Stegostoma tigrinum: one gene and its partner. The protein of the gene in region 2 interacts with the protein of the main gene of each other region in a pairwise test. Links are inferred from orthologs where the notes say so. Each region holds a gene or a part of one and is shown on either strand. Other genes may lie near its edges.

Evidence for each region. The genes of interacting proteins can lie anywhere in the genome.
Region 1: the proteins of ccndbp1 (region 2) and imp3 interact in binary tests that used the Homo sapiens proteins (3 or more experiments, as listed by UniProt). The two-hybrid records come from large-scale screens. The link is inferred for Stegostoma tigrinum from reciprocal best matches to the Homo sapiens genes CCNDBP1 and IMP3.

Annotation. Positions count from the first base shown.
Region 1 is NC_081361.1:10,773,803-10,781,865, reverse strand, and holds the start of imp3 (U3 small nucleolar ribonucleoprotein protein IMP3), read left to right. Parts: upstream 1-5,033; 5' UTR 5,034-5,300; coding exon 5,301-5,437; intron 5,438-8,063. UniProt on the Homo sapiens protein: Component of the 60-80S U3 small nucleolar ribonucleoprotein (U3 snoRNP). Required for the early cleavages during pre-18S ribosomal RNA processing. Part of the small subunit (SSU) processome, first precursor of the small eukaryotic ribosomal subunit.
Region 2 is NC_081372.1:47,265,952-47,273,343, reverse strand, and holds the start of ccndbp1 (cyclin-D1-binding protein 1 homolog), read right to left. Parts: upstream 3,103-7,392; 5' UTR 3,077-3,102; coding exon 2,959-3,076; intron 1-2,958. UniProt on the Homo sapiens protein: May negatively regulate cell cycle progression. May act at least in part via inhibition of the cyclin-D1/CDK4 complex, thereby preventing phosphorylation of RB1 and blocking E2F-dependent transcription.

The sequences.
Region 1 (8,063 bases), on a different chromosome or scaffold from region 2:
TCCTCTCACCTTAAAGCAATGCCCTCTGGTGTTGGACTCCCCGACCCTATGGAAAAAGGCTTTTGCTATTTACCCTTATATATGCCCCTCATGATTTTATAAAACTCTATTACATCACCCCTCAGCCTCTGACACTCCAGCCTATGCAGCATCTCCTTATAGCTCAAACCTCCTAACCCGGGCAACATCCTTGTAAATCTTTTCTGAACCCTTTCAAGTTTCACAACATCCTTCCTACAGCAAGGAGACCAGAACTGCACACAGTACTCCAAAAGTGGCCAAACCAATGTCCTGTACAGCCACAACATGACCTTCCAACTCTCACACAAAGCACTGACCAATAAAGGCAAACATACTAAACACCTTCTTCACTACCTGTCTACTTGCAACTCCACTTTCAAGGAACTATTAGCCTGTACTCCAAGGTCGCTTTGTTCAGCAACAATCACAGGACCTTACCATTAAGTGTATAGGTCCTTCCCTGATTGAATTTCCAAAATGCAACATATCACATTTATATAAACCTCATTTGCCACTCCTTGGCCCATTGCCTCACCTGATCAAGGTCCCATTGTACTCTGAGGTAACCTTCTTATAAATGTTTCACTGTACTCATTTGAGTACACATGATAATAAAGCTAATTCTAATTCTAGATGTAAAATAATATTTCAATTATCTGGATGACGATGCCAGGAGAAAGCCACGTGCATATTTTGAGACTTTGTCTTACTGTTATAATTTTCCATTAACGCTCTCACCAGAATTCATGGCACAATGTTACTGTTGTTTCTCTTAAAAGTTTTCTGAGTCACACTGCCATGTACAGCGGAATCCACAAATATTTGGGAGATTAGCATTCAGTGGTTCAATTGATGCCATAGAGGTTTTCCATTCCAATGTGCCAGGATTTCCTTATTCATTACCCCGGTGAGTTTTTTTTGCATTTATGTTCAAAGAGAAATTTCACTCGAAGAAAATGTACCATTGTTCCTAATTCAAACAGCTTAAAGTAATGTACTTACAGGCATTTTTTTTCTGAGATTTTTGGAACTGTTCAAAAATTGTAACGATGCCACTTAATAACAGGTATCCAGTGTCAGAGTTTCCAGCCTCTTGTACATAATCTGAGGAGGCTGCACCTTAACATCTGGTTCAACATATCTCCAATGTTTATGTAGAATGCTGCGCAAGTCCAAAGCCTTTCTACTTGTAGAACTGGGCTTAGCGAGAATGGGCATCCAGTGTCTGTTCAACTCGTAAACCATGTTCAAAGCTCTCACAGGTGGCCCATTATGTCAGGAATATCATTCACTATTTTATGAGATATTTCTTATGACCAGTAATCACTTAAGGAAATTGAGAGCAGATCTGTTCAAATTGTGCATTTATTTTGAGAGAGTGTAGGGAAAATTTATTGTCTGTTTATGCGGATCATCTGTCGTTTTCACCACATGTATCCTTTTGAGGAGGGATGTTTGAAATAATTTGGTAGGTATTAATGGATGCTGGCTGAGTCTTAGAAACCCGTGTGGGAGAGCTCCCAGCAGGGGAGCAGCTAAGTGGCTTTTTAAACTGTAACATTCCTGTTTGTTTTGTAAAGCTACAATAGTGAGTAGAATGGGTTCTTTTTTGATTATATGCTTTACTGAAATCTCTCTCCTGGTTAAATGTTAAACATATAAAATATAGGTACTAAGTTAGCCAGGAGTTTTTTTTTTAAGAGCAATACCACTGCTATTTTCTGGCAGACAGTTAAGATGCAAAGATGTCCTTTCGTAGAGTGATGTGCTCTAACTGTTGAATGTGGAAGATTAGGGAGAATTTCCATGTTTCATGATGATCACATCTGCATGAAGCGTGTTTGACTGTGAATTCTATCAGCTTGCACGGACCAGCAGTTAAAGGCAATGAGGAGTCTACAGAAGACAGGGGATGGGATAGATGGCTGCTGTGGGAAGGGAGGAAAACCACAGATACAGTCAGGCAGATGAGTTACCACCAGGAAAGGGAGGCGAGTCACTCAGGAATCTCCTGTGGCTATCCCCATCTGAAACATGCATGCTGTTTTGGAAAATATAGGGGATGACAGACTCTCAGGGAAATGTAGCACTAACAGCCAGGTTTCTGGTACTGAGACTGGCTCTAATAGTGAGGGGTATGTCAGGTTTCAAGTGATCGACTGCAATAGGGGACTCTCTAGTCAGAAGCACAGTCAGATGTTTCTGCGGCCAACAGTGAGAAATCAGAATGCTGTGTTGCCTCCCTGGTGCCAGGGTCAAGGATATCTCAGAGAAGGTGCAGAATATTCTCAAAGGGGAGAGGGATCAGCAAGAGGTTTTTGTACACATTGGAACTAACAACACAGGAAGAGAAAAGAATGTGATTCTGAGGAGAGAATAGAGAAAGTTAGACAGGAATTTTAAAAGGTGTTCCTTGAGGATAGTAATATCTGGATCACCCCCTGTGCCACGAGTTAGTGAGGATAGGAATTGGAGGGTGGAGCAGATGAATGCATGGTTGAGGAGCTGGTGCAGGGGAGAAGGATTCACATTTTTTGGATCATTGGACTGTCTTCTTGGGTAGAAGTGACCTTATAAGTAGGGTGGATTGCACCTGAATTGGAAGGGGTCTAATTTACAGACTGGGAGACAGAACTGCTCGGGAAGATTTTAACTAACAAAGCGGGTGGTGGTGCTGGGACTCAGGGAGATAGTGAGGAAAGAGATCAATCAGGTACAGCAATTTCTTATCGTGAATTCCCTATAATGCGATTTTCTTTTGCATGAGTACAGTTGGAAAAAGATCAAGTCAAACAGTCAGGACAGAGCAGAGAATGAGGCAGGACTGATAAATTAAACTGCATTTATTTCAAGGCAAGAAGCCTAAAAAGTAAGGAAGATGAACCTAGGGTGAGTTGGGAACATGGGACTGGGATGTCATAGTAATTATAGGGATGTGGCTTGAGGTTGGACAGGATTGGTAGCTTCATTTTCCAGGGTATAGATGCTACGGGAATGATAGTTGGAAGGTCATGTTGCGCTGTACAGGACATTGGTTTGGCCACTATTGGAGCACTGTGTGCTTTTGTTGGTCATTGAATTGAGTATAGGAGTTGGTCATGTGAAGGCTGTAGAGGACATTGGTTAGGCCACTTTCGAAATATCTTGTGCAATTCTGGTCTCTCTGCTACAGGAAGGATGTTGTGAAATTTGAAAGAGTTGAAGGACTGAGCTATAAGGAGAGGCTAAGCAGGCTGGGGCTAATTTCCCTGGAGCGTCAGAGGGTAAGGCACAGGCTATTCCCAGACAGTATCAGTATCACAAGATATATTGACATGACCACATTGTTTTTTGTTGGATCTGGCACTGCACAAATGAGTTTCCCACATTAAAACAGTGCCTATACTCCCTTAATTGGCTGGAAGGTAGCCTGAAGGGGTGGGGGTGGGGTTAAATGAATGGAGATTTTTTTCCCTGAAGCACAAAGACTCCTACATAAGCCTCACTTCTCACTCATAGATGCTCACCTCACTCTTGTAGATTCAACTACTCTCTTTCCTGTAAATGAGACTGTAAGACATAGCAGCAGGCCATTATGCCCATCAAGTCTGTCTGCTATTCAAGAAGATCACATCTGATCTGATAATATTCAACTCGAGTTTCCCGCCTTTTCCCCATAACACTCGATTCTGTTACTGATTAGAAAACTATCTCAGCCTTGAATATACGTAATGGCTCAGCCTTGACAGCCCTCTATGGTAAAGAATTCCACAGAAATAATCCTCCTAATCTGTTTTAAATGGGCTACTTCTTACTCTGACATTGTTGCCTTTGCTCCTAGAGTCTCCCACAACCTCTTCACATTACCGAGCCAAGTCCCCTAAGAATCTAACGCAGGTAGTTCTGCTATAACACTTTTTTTGTTGAAGTGAATTGGCTGTAATGAGATTGATGAATAGTGGACGCTGTTTGCGTAACACAAACTTTCTGCTGTACAGGTACAGCAATTTCTTATCATGAATTCCCTATAATGCGATTTTCTTTTGCATGAGGTTATGCAAGAATGCAACTATCATGTTACAGGAGAACTACTTGTGTTTCAATAAGGTCTCCTCTCACACTTCTAAACTCCAATGAGTACAAGCCCTCTCCTCATAACAGAATTCCTCCACATCTGAGATCAACCTCGTGAACCTCTCTGGGCTCCAATGCCAGTACATCTTTCCTTAAATGAGTGGACCAAAATTGTTCATAGTATTCCAGCTATGGGCTGACTCATGCTTTCCATAGTTTAGCAAGACCCCTATTTTTGTATTCCATTTCCTTTGAAACTAATTCCAACAACCTAATTGCCTACTCCTAAACTTGGATGCTAGCTGTTTCTATGAGGTCTCCCCAAATCCCTCTGTGCTGCAGCTCCCTGCAATCTTTCCCCGTTTTGAATAATATTCGGTCTTCATCATTTCTTCCAAAATTCATGACTTCTGATTTTCCCATATCATATTCATTCACCTATTTTTGTCACTTTTTGCTCTCTCCCCTGTTGGTTTTATCTTGCTGTCCCTCTATATTCCCTCTGCCCTAGAGAAACACAGCCTCTCCACCACACCCACCCAGTATATTCTCGTCCTTCTGTATATCGTTTCTGCCCATTTATTCCTTCTTCTCTATAGTTTTCTCTCCATCCCCTTTGTATATTCTCACACTCTCTTGTAGAGCACGATTGCCTCTCCTCCTCCTTTCCTCCTGTAGTAGCTCCCTCACACCCTCCCCTCCTCCTGCAGAAACTCCTTCACTCCTGTATTAGTTCCCTCACACACACACTCTCTCTCCCCTGGATATAAATTCCTCCACTCACTCTCTCCTTACCTAATTGCTCTCCTTCCCTCCTGCACTCTCCCTCCCTTCTGTATAAGTTCCTTCATTCCCTCTCTCTCTCTTCCCCTTCTGTACAAATTCCTTCATTATCTCTCTGTCTCTTCCCCTTTTGCATAAATTCCATCATTCTCTCTCTGTCTCTTCCCCTTCTGTATAAATTCCTTCATTCTCTCTCTCTCTCTGTCTCTCCCCCTTCTGTAAAAATTCCTTCATTCTCTGTCTCTCCCCCTTCTGTACAAATTCCTTCATTCTCTGTCTCTCCCCCTTCTGTACAAATTCCTTCATTCTCTGTCTCTCCCCCTTCTGTACAAATTCCTTCATTCTCCATCTCTGTACACAGTCTCTGCCAACTCTGTGGTATTCTTGCTGAGAACAGGCAGCTCCGCAGGCAGCACGACCTCTCATCGAGGACCCCGGTAACCATGGTGCGCAAGCTGAAGTACCACGAGCAGAAGCTGCTGAAAAAAGTCGATTTTATCTCCTGGGAGGTGGACAATAACCTGAGCGAAGTGAAAGTGCTACGCCGGTACCGCATCCAGCGCAGAGAGGATTACACCAAGTGAGTATGACAGCGGCTCAGGCGGCCGAACGGGTGGAAACACGGGGCGCCGCCATGTTGGCCAGGCCTTAGCAACGGATCCGTGCTCCCCTGAAGACAGTTCCCACCCTCTCTTGGCAACGACACACTGCCGCCCCTTCTCTGCAGGTCACTCCGTACGGTCACCTGGGGCTAGAATCAAACCTGGCCCTGTGAAGCAGCAGTGATGATCGCTGAGCCACCGTGCTGCCCCATGAGACACCTCTGATGGCTGTAGGGAGTGTATTCTTCCTTTGCCCTGTGCTTGAGCTCCTTCTATAGACCCTTCAGCCTTTATGTAGGGTACTGTCAGTTCACTCATCTGGCCAAAGTCTAGTCTCTGATTTGATTTGATTTGATTTGATTTGATTTAGTTTTTATCGCCACATGTGCAATCAAGAGCTTCGTTTATGAGCGGTACAGGAAAATCACAGCAAGCAAAGGATGTACAGATCAAAAAGACTTAGAAGCATATAGGTTACGTTACGTGTTAGATTATTTGAGGCTGGAGTTCATTGAACAGTTTGATAATGGCGGGAAAGAAGCTATTCCTGAACCTGCTTGTATTTCTGTTCAGGCTTCTGTATCTTATGCCTGACGGAAGCGGTTTAGGAGGTCATTACCAGGTATAATGGTTCTTTGATGATGTTAGCTGCTTTTCTGTGGGAGCAAGCTGTATAAATGGAGTCAAGGTCGGCACGGTGGCTGAGTGGTTAGCACTGCTGCCTCACAGCGCCAGCGGCCTGGGTTCGATTTTCCCCCTCAGACTGTAGGGAGTTTGCACCTTCTCCCCATGTCTGTTTGGGTTTTCCCCAGGTGCTCTGGTTTCCTCCCACAGTCCAAAGATGTGTGGGCTAGGTGGATTAACCATGCTAGGTTGCATGTAGTATTCAGGGATGTGTAGATTAGGTGGGTTTGAGGAATGGGTCTAGGTGGGATGTTTTGAGGGGCAGTGTGGACTTGTTGGGCTTAGGGGCCTGTTTTCAGACTGTATGGATTCTGTGAATAAAATCTATGAGTCTGTGCTTGGAAGATTAGCTTCCCTGATGGTCTGGGCTGTGCACACCACCTTTTGTAGTTTTTTTACGGTCCTGGGCAGAGCAATTGCCATACCGGGCCATTATGCACCTGGACAGTATGCTTTCAGTGGTGCATCTGTAGAAGTTGGCGAGGGGCCTTATGAGTGTGCCAAATTTCCTGAGGAAGAAGAGGCGTTGTGCCTTTTTTACTGTTGCATTTATGTGGGAAGTCCAGGACAGGTCATCGTTTATCGTCATACTGAGGAACTTCATGCTACTCGCTCTGTTAGCCTCAGTTCCATTGATGTGGATGGGGACATGTTCTCCTTTTTCTTTCCGAAGTCGATGATCAGTTCTTTAGTTTTCCCGCCGTTGAGAGACAGATTGTTTTCATTGCACCATATCACCAAACTGTCGGTCTCCCTTCTGTATTTTGACTCTTCGTTGTTAGATATTCATCTCACTATGGTGGTGTTGTCGGTGAACTTGTAGTTGCTCTACGTTGTGCGGTGTAGTATTTTCAGTCCTGTCCTGCCTCATCACCTGGCATGTGTAATGGAGGTACATGCTGGACATCAGGCAAAGCAGCATCTGAAAAGGCATGTTTAAGTTTTAACTATGTTTCCACTTGAAAGTTTAAGGCAGGGAAAGATGAGAGAATAGAATTGATAGCCCTGGTTATTCCAAAGCTTACACATGCAGGACAAAAGGATGCCATTGATTCATTGTGCTTGTGCCATTTCTTAAAGGCAGCTATCCAATTAGTTTCTGTCCTCTGCTTTATCTCATAACCCTAAAATTTATTGTAACTTTTAGGCATATATTCACAGAACTTTCTCTTCAAAGATACTGTGACTTATTCTACATCTATTTGAGAAGACTGTCCAACAATGCGTTCATTCCTAAAATGACGTAAAAGTTTTCTTAGCGTTAGAATCCAGACTTAGGAGTTAGGAATTGGAGGAATGAAGTGTTAGAAATAAGAAAAGTCACAATGAGGCAAAATAGCTTGCAGGTGCTGCCAAAATACAAACAATTATTTGGAAAATTTACTGTTTGTAATGCTGAGAGGCTACTGCACAGACTAACCTTCTAACAGAAGTGCACCCAAGCATCCTGCCTGTTGACTTCTATGCCTGCCTGTTAAAATTTCAAATCCTTTGTTGGTGTACTGATCAACTCTGCTTCCTTGTACTCTCTTGTGTGCAGTGTGTGCATTGGGTTTCATTATGTTCCTGGACCAGTAAGTCAGAAGATGACCCAAAACCGGAGTTCACTTCTCATTGTGACAGTTGAGAAATTTAAGTTCAGTTAAATAAATTTAGAATAAAAAACACGTCAGTAATAGCAAGCATGAATCTAGTGCAAAAAAACCCCACCTGATTCACAGTGTCCTTTTGGGAAGCAAATCCTTACCTAATTTAGACTACAAGTGATTCTCTATCCGTAACTACTTTTTGGGTGGCTAAGCATTATGAATTGTTTAGTGTTAGCTTCGTCAATGTAAGAACACAAGTACACCCTGCCCATTTGACCCTGCAAAGTTCTTGTGCCAGATTTGTAAGCGCTCTATGACCTGTTCCATCTGC
Region 2 (7,392 bases):
ATTAAGCAGAGGTTCACCTGCACATCTGCCAATGTGGTATACTGCATCCACTGTACCCGGTGAGGCTTCCTCTACATTGGGGAAACCAAGCGGAGGCTTGGGGACCGCTTTGCAGAACACCTCCGCTCAGTTCGCAACAAACAACTGCACCTCCCAGTCGCAAACCATTTCCACTCCCCCTCCCATTCTCTAGATGACATGTCCATCATGGGCCTCCTGCAGTGCCACAATGATGCCACCCGAAGGTTGCAGGAACAGCAACTCATTCTGCCTGGGAACCCTGCAGCCATATGGTATCAATGTGGACTTCACCAGTTTCAAAATCTCCCCTTCCCCTACTGCATCCCTAAACCAGCCCAGTTCATCCCCTCCCCCCACTGCACCACACAACCAGCCCAGCTCTTCCCCCCACCCACTGCATCCCAAAACCAGTCCAACCTGTCTCTGCCTCCCTAACCGGTTCTTCCTCTCACCCATCCCTTCCTCCCACCCCAAGCCGCACCCCCAGCTACCTACTTACCTCATCCCACCTCCTTGACCTGTCCGTCTTCCCTGGACTGACCTATCCCCTCCCTACCTCCCCACCTATACTCTCTCCACCTATCTTCTTTACTCTCCATCTTCGGTCCACCTCCCCCTCTCTCCCTATTTATTCCAGTTCCCTCTCCCCATCCCCCTCTCTGATGAAGGGTCTAGGCCCGAAACGTCAGCTTTTGTGCTCCTGAGATGCTGCTTGGCCTGCTGTGTTCATCCAGCCTCACATTTTACTATCTTGGAGTTCTCCAGCATCTGCAGTTCCCATTATCTCTGATACCATTAGGTATAACAATCATCTTGCTAGGTCTACCACTGACAAATTTCAGCATTACAAGAGAACCATTCTTCCAAGTGTTACTCCTCAGAAAAATGATTACAATGGTTTGTTAGTGGCTGTGTTGAGTCCACTGATAACCCAAAAATCTTTGAAAAGTCATCAGTTATTGGTGAGTTATTCTTCTTTAGGGTAGAATTGTGATAACTAATGCTTTCAACAAACAGAACTTCAGTCTATCAGTTTTATGACTGTTGATTAGTTATTTCATACATTCATGTCTAATCCACAAGTTTCCTCCCAAGTCACTTATTATTGCCGCTCCTTGAACGTCACTGGATCAAAATCTTAGAAAGCCCTCCTTAATTCCTTTCCACAGAGACCTTGCACATATTCAAGGCCAAGATAGAGAAATTCTTGATCAGTAGACAAATCAAGGGTCAAGGGAAAGGGCAGGAAAGTGAATATGAGGAGTGGCTGAATCTTCTGGATAACAGAACAGGCTTGAGGAACTAAACAGTCCACTCCCATTCCTTTTTCTTATGGTGCAATGGCATTGTGAAGGTACTTACACAAATTTATCACCGCAATTCAAGGTGGCAGAACACCACCATTTTCTCAAGGACAGCTAGATACAGGCAAAAAATGCTGGCCCAGCAAGCAATGACCACATCCTATTCGTGATTTTGCTTTTAAAATAGCACCCTGTAAATTATCAGGCACTTGTAATTTTCTTTCTCCTTCTAAACTGACAGTGAGGCTGACCAAGATGCTAAAGAAGCTTTCTGAGGCAGAGTGGGACATGGCTAGAAGTCTTCAAAGATAAAAACAAAGACTTGAAATTGATACCGAAGGCTGCGACAAGACAGAAAAAAAATTTCAATGATGGGAAAGGGGTTGTGAAACAGAACCAAACAGAATACAAGATTCCAAATTATGAGTTGAGAGCAGAAGGGCATTCAGGAAAGTTGGTCGAGTTAGGAGCAGAGGCATGAAAGACTGAGAAGATGCAAAATAGTGACTTTATTTTTATTTTCACTGACCCACAAGATTTGACTGTGCAAGGTTTAACTACATTCATGGCTGTACACACATTTAAAGGTCCCTTAAACTTCACTATTGGGGGCGGGGAGGAGTGAAGAGAACATCCACAACTACATTAAATTATGCAGTTTGACAGGAGGGACACGCAGGCAAATGGAATTGACTATACAGATCTCTTGGAGGGCTTGTTTGGAAGGTCAAGTAAAATAGTGGGTGTTCAATTTAGTCATACATAACAGAAAAGCAATTCAAACTTGCAAAGCTGTAACATACCAGAGGCCAATGCTAAATGACGAGCACAGGGAGGAAGGCAAGTAAAATTAACAGAAATGCTGAAGAACACAGTGGGTTAGCAACAATGGTGAGTAAAGAAATAGTTAACATTTCAGACTTTTCATCAGGACGGTTCCAGGCTTGAAATATTAATTCCGAATCTCTCGCCACGGCTGATGTCTGACCCATTGAGCATTTTCTGCATTTTTTAAAAAACTTCAGAATTTTTGTTTCTGTATTTGGACTTAAATGAGAATACAGCTAACTGAGTTTTATATTAACTCAAAAGGCGGGGAAGGGGACAGAGAAAGGAGATAGGACGCTAGTCAGAAGTCTGCTGAAACAATATGGAGGAAGTAAATAGATGAACTTGTCCATTTGAGGCTCGATTAGGAATATAAACAACTTAGAGCCCCTCTATTGGATCCCAGCCTGTAAGATTGGATCAGGTAGACTAGGCCCGAAACGTCAGCTTTTGTGCTCCTGAGATGCTGCTTAGTGCCTATTGTGTTCATCCAGCCCCACACTTTGTTATCTCGGATCCTCCAGCATCTGCAGTTCCCATTATCACTAATTACACGCAAACACTAGACTGCTGCCGCTATTTCCACTGGCTCTGAGCTCCTAGGGCCGGCTGTTACCCCATTATCGCTCCTTTCACTGTCACTCGGGTGTTGCGGTAGATGCCAGTACATGTCCGTACACCCACAGACAAAGTGGGGTCCTTCAGGTAGAGGCCCTGTCTGGTGTCAGCAGTCCTCTCCCCCAACCCCGGGATCTCTGCTGTTGGAAGATCCTGAGGCCTGCTCCCTGGAATCAGCCGAACTCACCTCGCAGCTGCGACACCACCTCCCTCAGGCCGTTCGCAAGGTTCCGCAGCGGCAACCGCAGATCATCGTTCGCCTCCGAGTCCATGGTCTCACACGCAGCCGAAAGCAGCTCCTCCATCTTGACGCAAGCTCGGGGGCGGGGCCCGCTGTAGCAGGCAGGACTGGTGGGCGGAGGCTGGGTCGTTACGGATGAATGGGCGGGACCAGAGGTAGGGCGGGGCCTGACTGGATGCACAGGTAATGGGAACTGCAGATGCTGGAGAATCCAAGATAACAAAGTGTGGAGCTGGATGAACACAGCAGGCCAAGCAGCATCTTAGGAGCACAAAAGCGTCTCTGATGAAGGGTCTAGGCCCGAAACGTCAGCTTTTGTGCTCCTGAGATGCTGCTTGGCCTGCTGTGTTCATCCAGCTCCACACTTTGTTATCTCAGATGCATGGAGATTGACGGGGCCAGTAGACGAGGCCGGGTTCACGGTAAATGCGGTGGTGAAGGGAGTAGTCAAGCCCTTCGTTGAAAAGCAGATGGTGAAAATTTGAAATTTTTAATTCAGGCAGCACGTTAGTAAAGAACAGCAACTCATATTCTGCTTGGGAACCCTGCAGCCCAATGGTATCAATGTGGATTTCACAAGCTTCAAAATCTCCCCTCCCCCCACCGCATCCCAAAACCAACCCAGCTCATCCCCTCCCCCCACTGCATCCCATAACCAGCCCAGCTCGTCCCTGCCTCCCTGACCTGTTCTTCCTCTCACCTATCCCCTCCTCCCACCTCAAGCCACTCCTGCATTTCCTACCTACCAACCTCATCCCGCCTCCTTAACCTATCCCTCCTCCCTGGACTGACCTATCCCCTCCCTACCTCCCCACCCATACTCTCCTCTCCACCTATCTTCTCCTCTATCCATCTTCGGTCTGCTTCCCCCTCTCTCCCTATTTATTTCTAGTAGAGCCAACAGTCAATGGGAAACTTCGAACCAGCGTCTACGGGAAAACAACACATACAGACCAAATACTGAACTACAGGAGTAACCATCCCGACACCCACAAACGAAGCTGCATTAGAACATTATTCCAACGAGCCACCACACACTGCAGCACAGAGGAACTACGAAGAGCAGAAGAAAATCACCTATACAGCATATTCAAAAAGAATGGGTACCCAATGAACACAGTCTGCCGATTTCTCAGCAACAAACCCGAACAAACAGACAAAATGGGCCCAGAAACCATAACCGCTCTCCCCTACATCAAAGACATTTCCGAAATGACTGCCAGACTACTCGGACCTCTTGGCATCAGGGTAGCCCACCAACCCACCAACACACTAAAACAGCAGCTAATGAACTTAAAAGACCCTATACAGACAACAAGCAAAACAAACATCATTTACAAAATACTTTTCAAGAACTGTGACAAACACTACATTGTGACAAACAGGCAGAAAGCTAGCCACCAGGATACATGAACATCAGCTAGCCACAAAACGATATGACTCACTATCACTTGTATCCTTACATACAGATGAGGAAGGACACCATTTTGATTGGGACAACACATCCATCCTAGGACAAGCCAAACAGAGACACGCACGAGAATTCCTAGGAGCATGGCATTCCAACCGGAACTCCATCCACAAACACATTGGCTCCAAATCAATCTACCATCCTCTGAGAAAAAGAACAGGAAACGACATCACCAACCCAAGGAAACCTAAACAGATAAATAGAAAGTGGGACATAACACCAGCGCTTTGTCGGAGGCTCACTGATGATGTTACCTAGAATGGTGACGAAACGTCTGAAAACTAACCTTCCAGCTCAGCAAGCAAACTCACATCCAGAATTAAACATAATACTCTAAATGTGGCCGAACTAAATTCTTAATAAGTTGCAGCATGACATCCTGACTCTTGTACTCAGTTCTCCAACCAATAAAGGCAAGCATGCCACACGTGTTCTTTACCCCCTATCTACTTGTATGGCTACTTTCAGGGAGCTATGGATTTGAACCCCAATCTCCTTCTATACATCAATGGCATTCAGAGTTCTGCCATTAATTGTACACGTTTCGTTAACATTTGATCTCCCAAATCATAGCACTTCATATTTACCCAGATTAAACTCCATCTGCCATTTATCTGCCCATGATTGCAATTGAGCGATATCCTGCTATATCCTTTGACAACCTTCTACACTATCCACAACTCCACCAATCTTTGTATCATCTGCAAACATAATAACCCACCCAACTATATTATCATGTAAGTCATTTATATGTATTAAAAAGTGTAGAGTTGCCAACACGGACCCCTGCAAAACACCATTAGTCATGGACCTCCAGACTAGAAACCAGCCTTCCACCACTACCCTCTGTCTTCTATGGCAAGCCAAGCCTGAACCCACATTGTCAAGTCACTGTGGATTCCATGCGTCTTAATCTTCTGGATGTGCCTACTATGAGGGACCTGGTCAAAAGCCTTACTAAAATCCATGTAAACAACATCCACTGCTCTACCCTCACCGATCACCTCCGTCACCTTCTCAAAAAATTCAATCAAGGTAGTAAGAAATGATCTGCCTTGCATAAAGCCATGTTGAACATAGAACGTAGAACAGTACAGGCCCTTCGGACAAAGATGTTGTGCCGAACTTTTACCCTAAGCCTTATGTCTATCTAACCTCCACCCCTACTTTACACTATCATCCAAATGCCACGTAAATGCCCCTAATGAGGCCGACTCCACTACCCTCTCTGGCAATGTATTCCATTCCCCTACCACTGTCTGACTAAAGAACCTACCTCTGACGTCTCCCCTATTTCTACCTCCACTCACTTTAAAATTACGCCCCCTCGTATGAGCTACCTCCCCCCTAGGAAAAAGTCTCTGGCTATCCACTCTCTCAATACCTCTGATCATTTCGTACACCTCTATCAATTCACCTCTCATCCTTCGTCATTATAAAGAGAAAAGTCCTAGGTTTCTCAACTTTTCCTCAAAAGACCCTCCCTCCATTCTCGGCAACACCCTGGTAAATCTCCTCTGCACCTTTTCCAACATTTCTGCATCCTTCCTGTCATGAGACGACCAGAACCGGACACAATACTCCAAATGTGGCCAAACCAGGGTTTTGTATAACTGGAGCATAACTTCAAAGCTCTTGAACCCAAACTCCCTATTAATGAAAGCTAACACACTATACGCTTTGCGAACAACTCTATCCACCTGGGTGGCAGCTTTTAGGGAACTGTGGACATGAACCCCAAGATCCCTCTGCTCCTCCACGCTGCCAAAAATCTTTCCATTAACCCTGTATTCTGCTTTCAAATTTGTCCTTCCAAAATGTATCACCTCACACTTTTCAGGGTTAAACTCCATCTGCCACTTCTTAGCCCACCTCTGCATCCTATCAATGTCCCTTTGTAACCTAGAATAGCCATCCACACTATTGTCAAAGCGACTCACCTTTGTATTGTCTGCGAACTTACTAATCCACTCTTCCACTCCTACATCCAAATCATTTACAAAATTCACAAATAGAAGAGGACCCAGAACAGATCCTTGTGGTACACCACTCTTAACTGAGCACCATGCTGAATATGTTCCATCCACTAACACCCTTTGTATTCTAAGGGTCAGCCAATTCTGAATCCAATCTGCCACACTTTCCCTATCCCATGCCTCCTTACCTTCTGCATGAGCCTACCATGGGGAACCTTATCAAATGCCTTACTTAAATCCATGTATACCACATCCACTGCTCTACCTTCATCCACGTGTTTGGTCACCTCTTCAAAGGATTCAATAAGGTTTGTGAGGCATGATCTACCCCTCACAAATCAATGCTGACTATCACGAATCAAACTATGCCTATCCAAGTGATCATAAATCCTCTCTGTCAGAGCCTTTTCCAATAATTTGCCCACCACTGACATAACACTAACTAGCCTGTAATTTCCAGGGTTATCCCTATTCTGTTTTTTGAACAAGGAAATGACGTTTGCCACTCTCCAATCTTCCGGCACTATACCCGTGGACAGTGAGGATGCAAAGATCATCGCCAAAGGCCCTGTGATCTCTTCCCTCACTTCTCATTGAATCCCATCAGGCCCAGGAACTTATCTATCTTCAATTTCCTCAAAATTCCTTGTGCATCTTCCTTACAAACATGCACCTCCTTTAGCCTTCTAGCCTGAATTGTAATTACCCTTCCCTCAATTATAAACCTTACCCTGCTGTGTGTACCTTCCTTTTCCATGACTGTTGTAAAAGAAACAGAGTGATGATCACTACTGCCAAAATGCCCTCCTAACAACAGGTCTAACACTTGGTCCGGTTCATTGCCAAGCACAAATCCAAAGTGGCCTCTCCTCATGTTGGTCTATCTACATACTGTGTCAGGAATCCTTCTTGAATCCACTGGACCAAATCCAT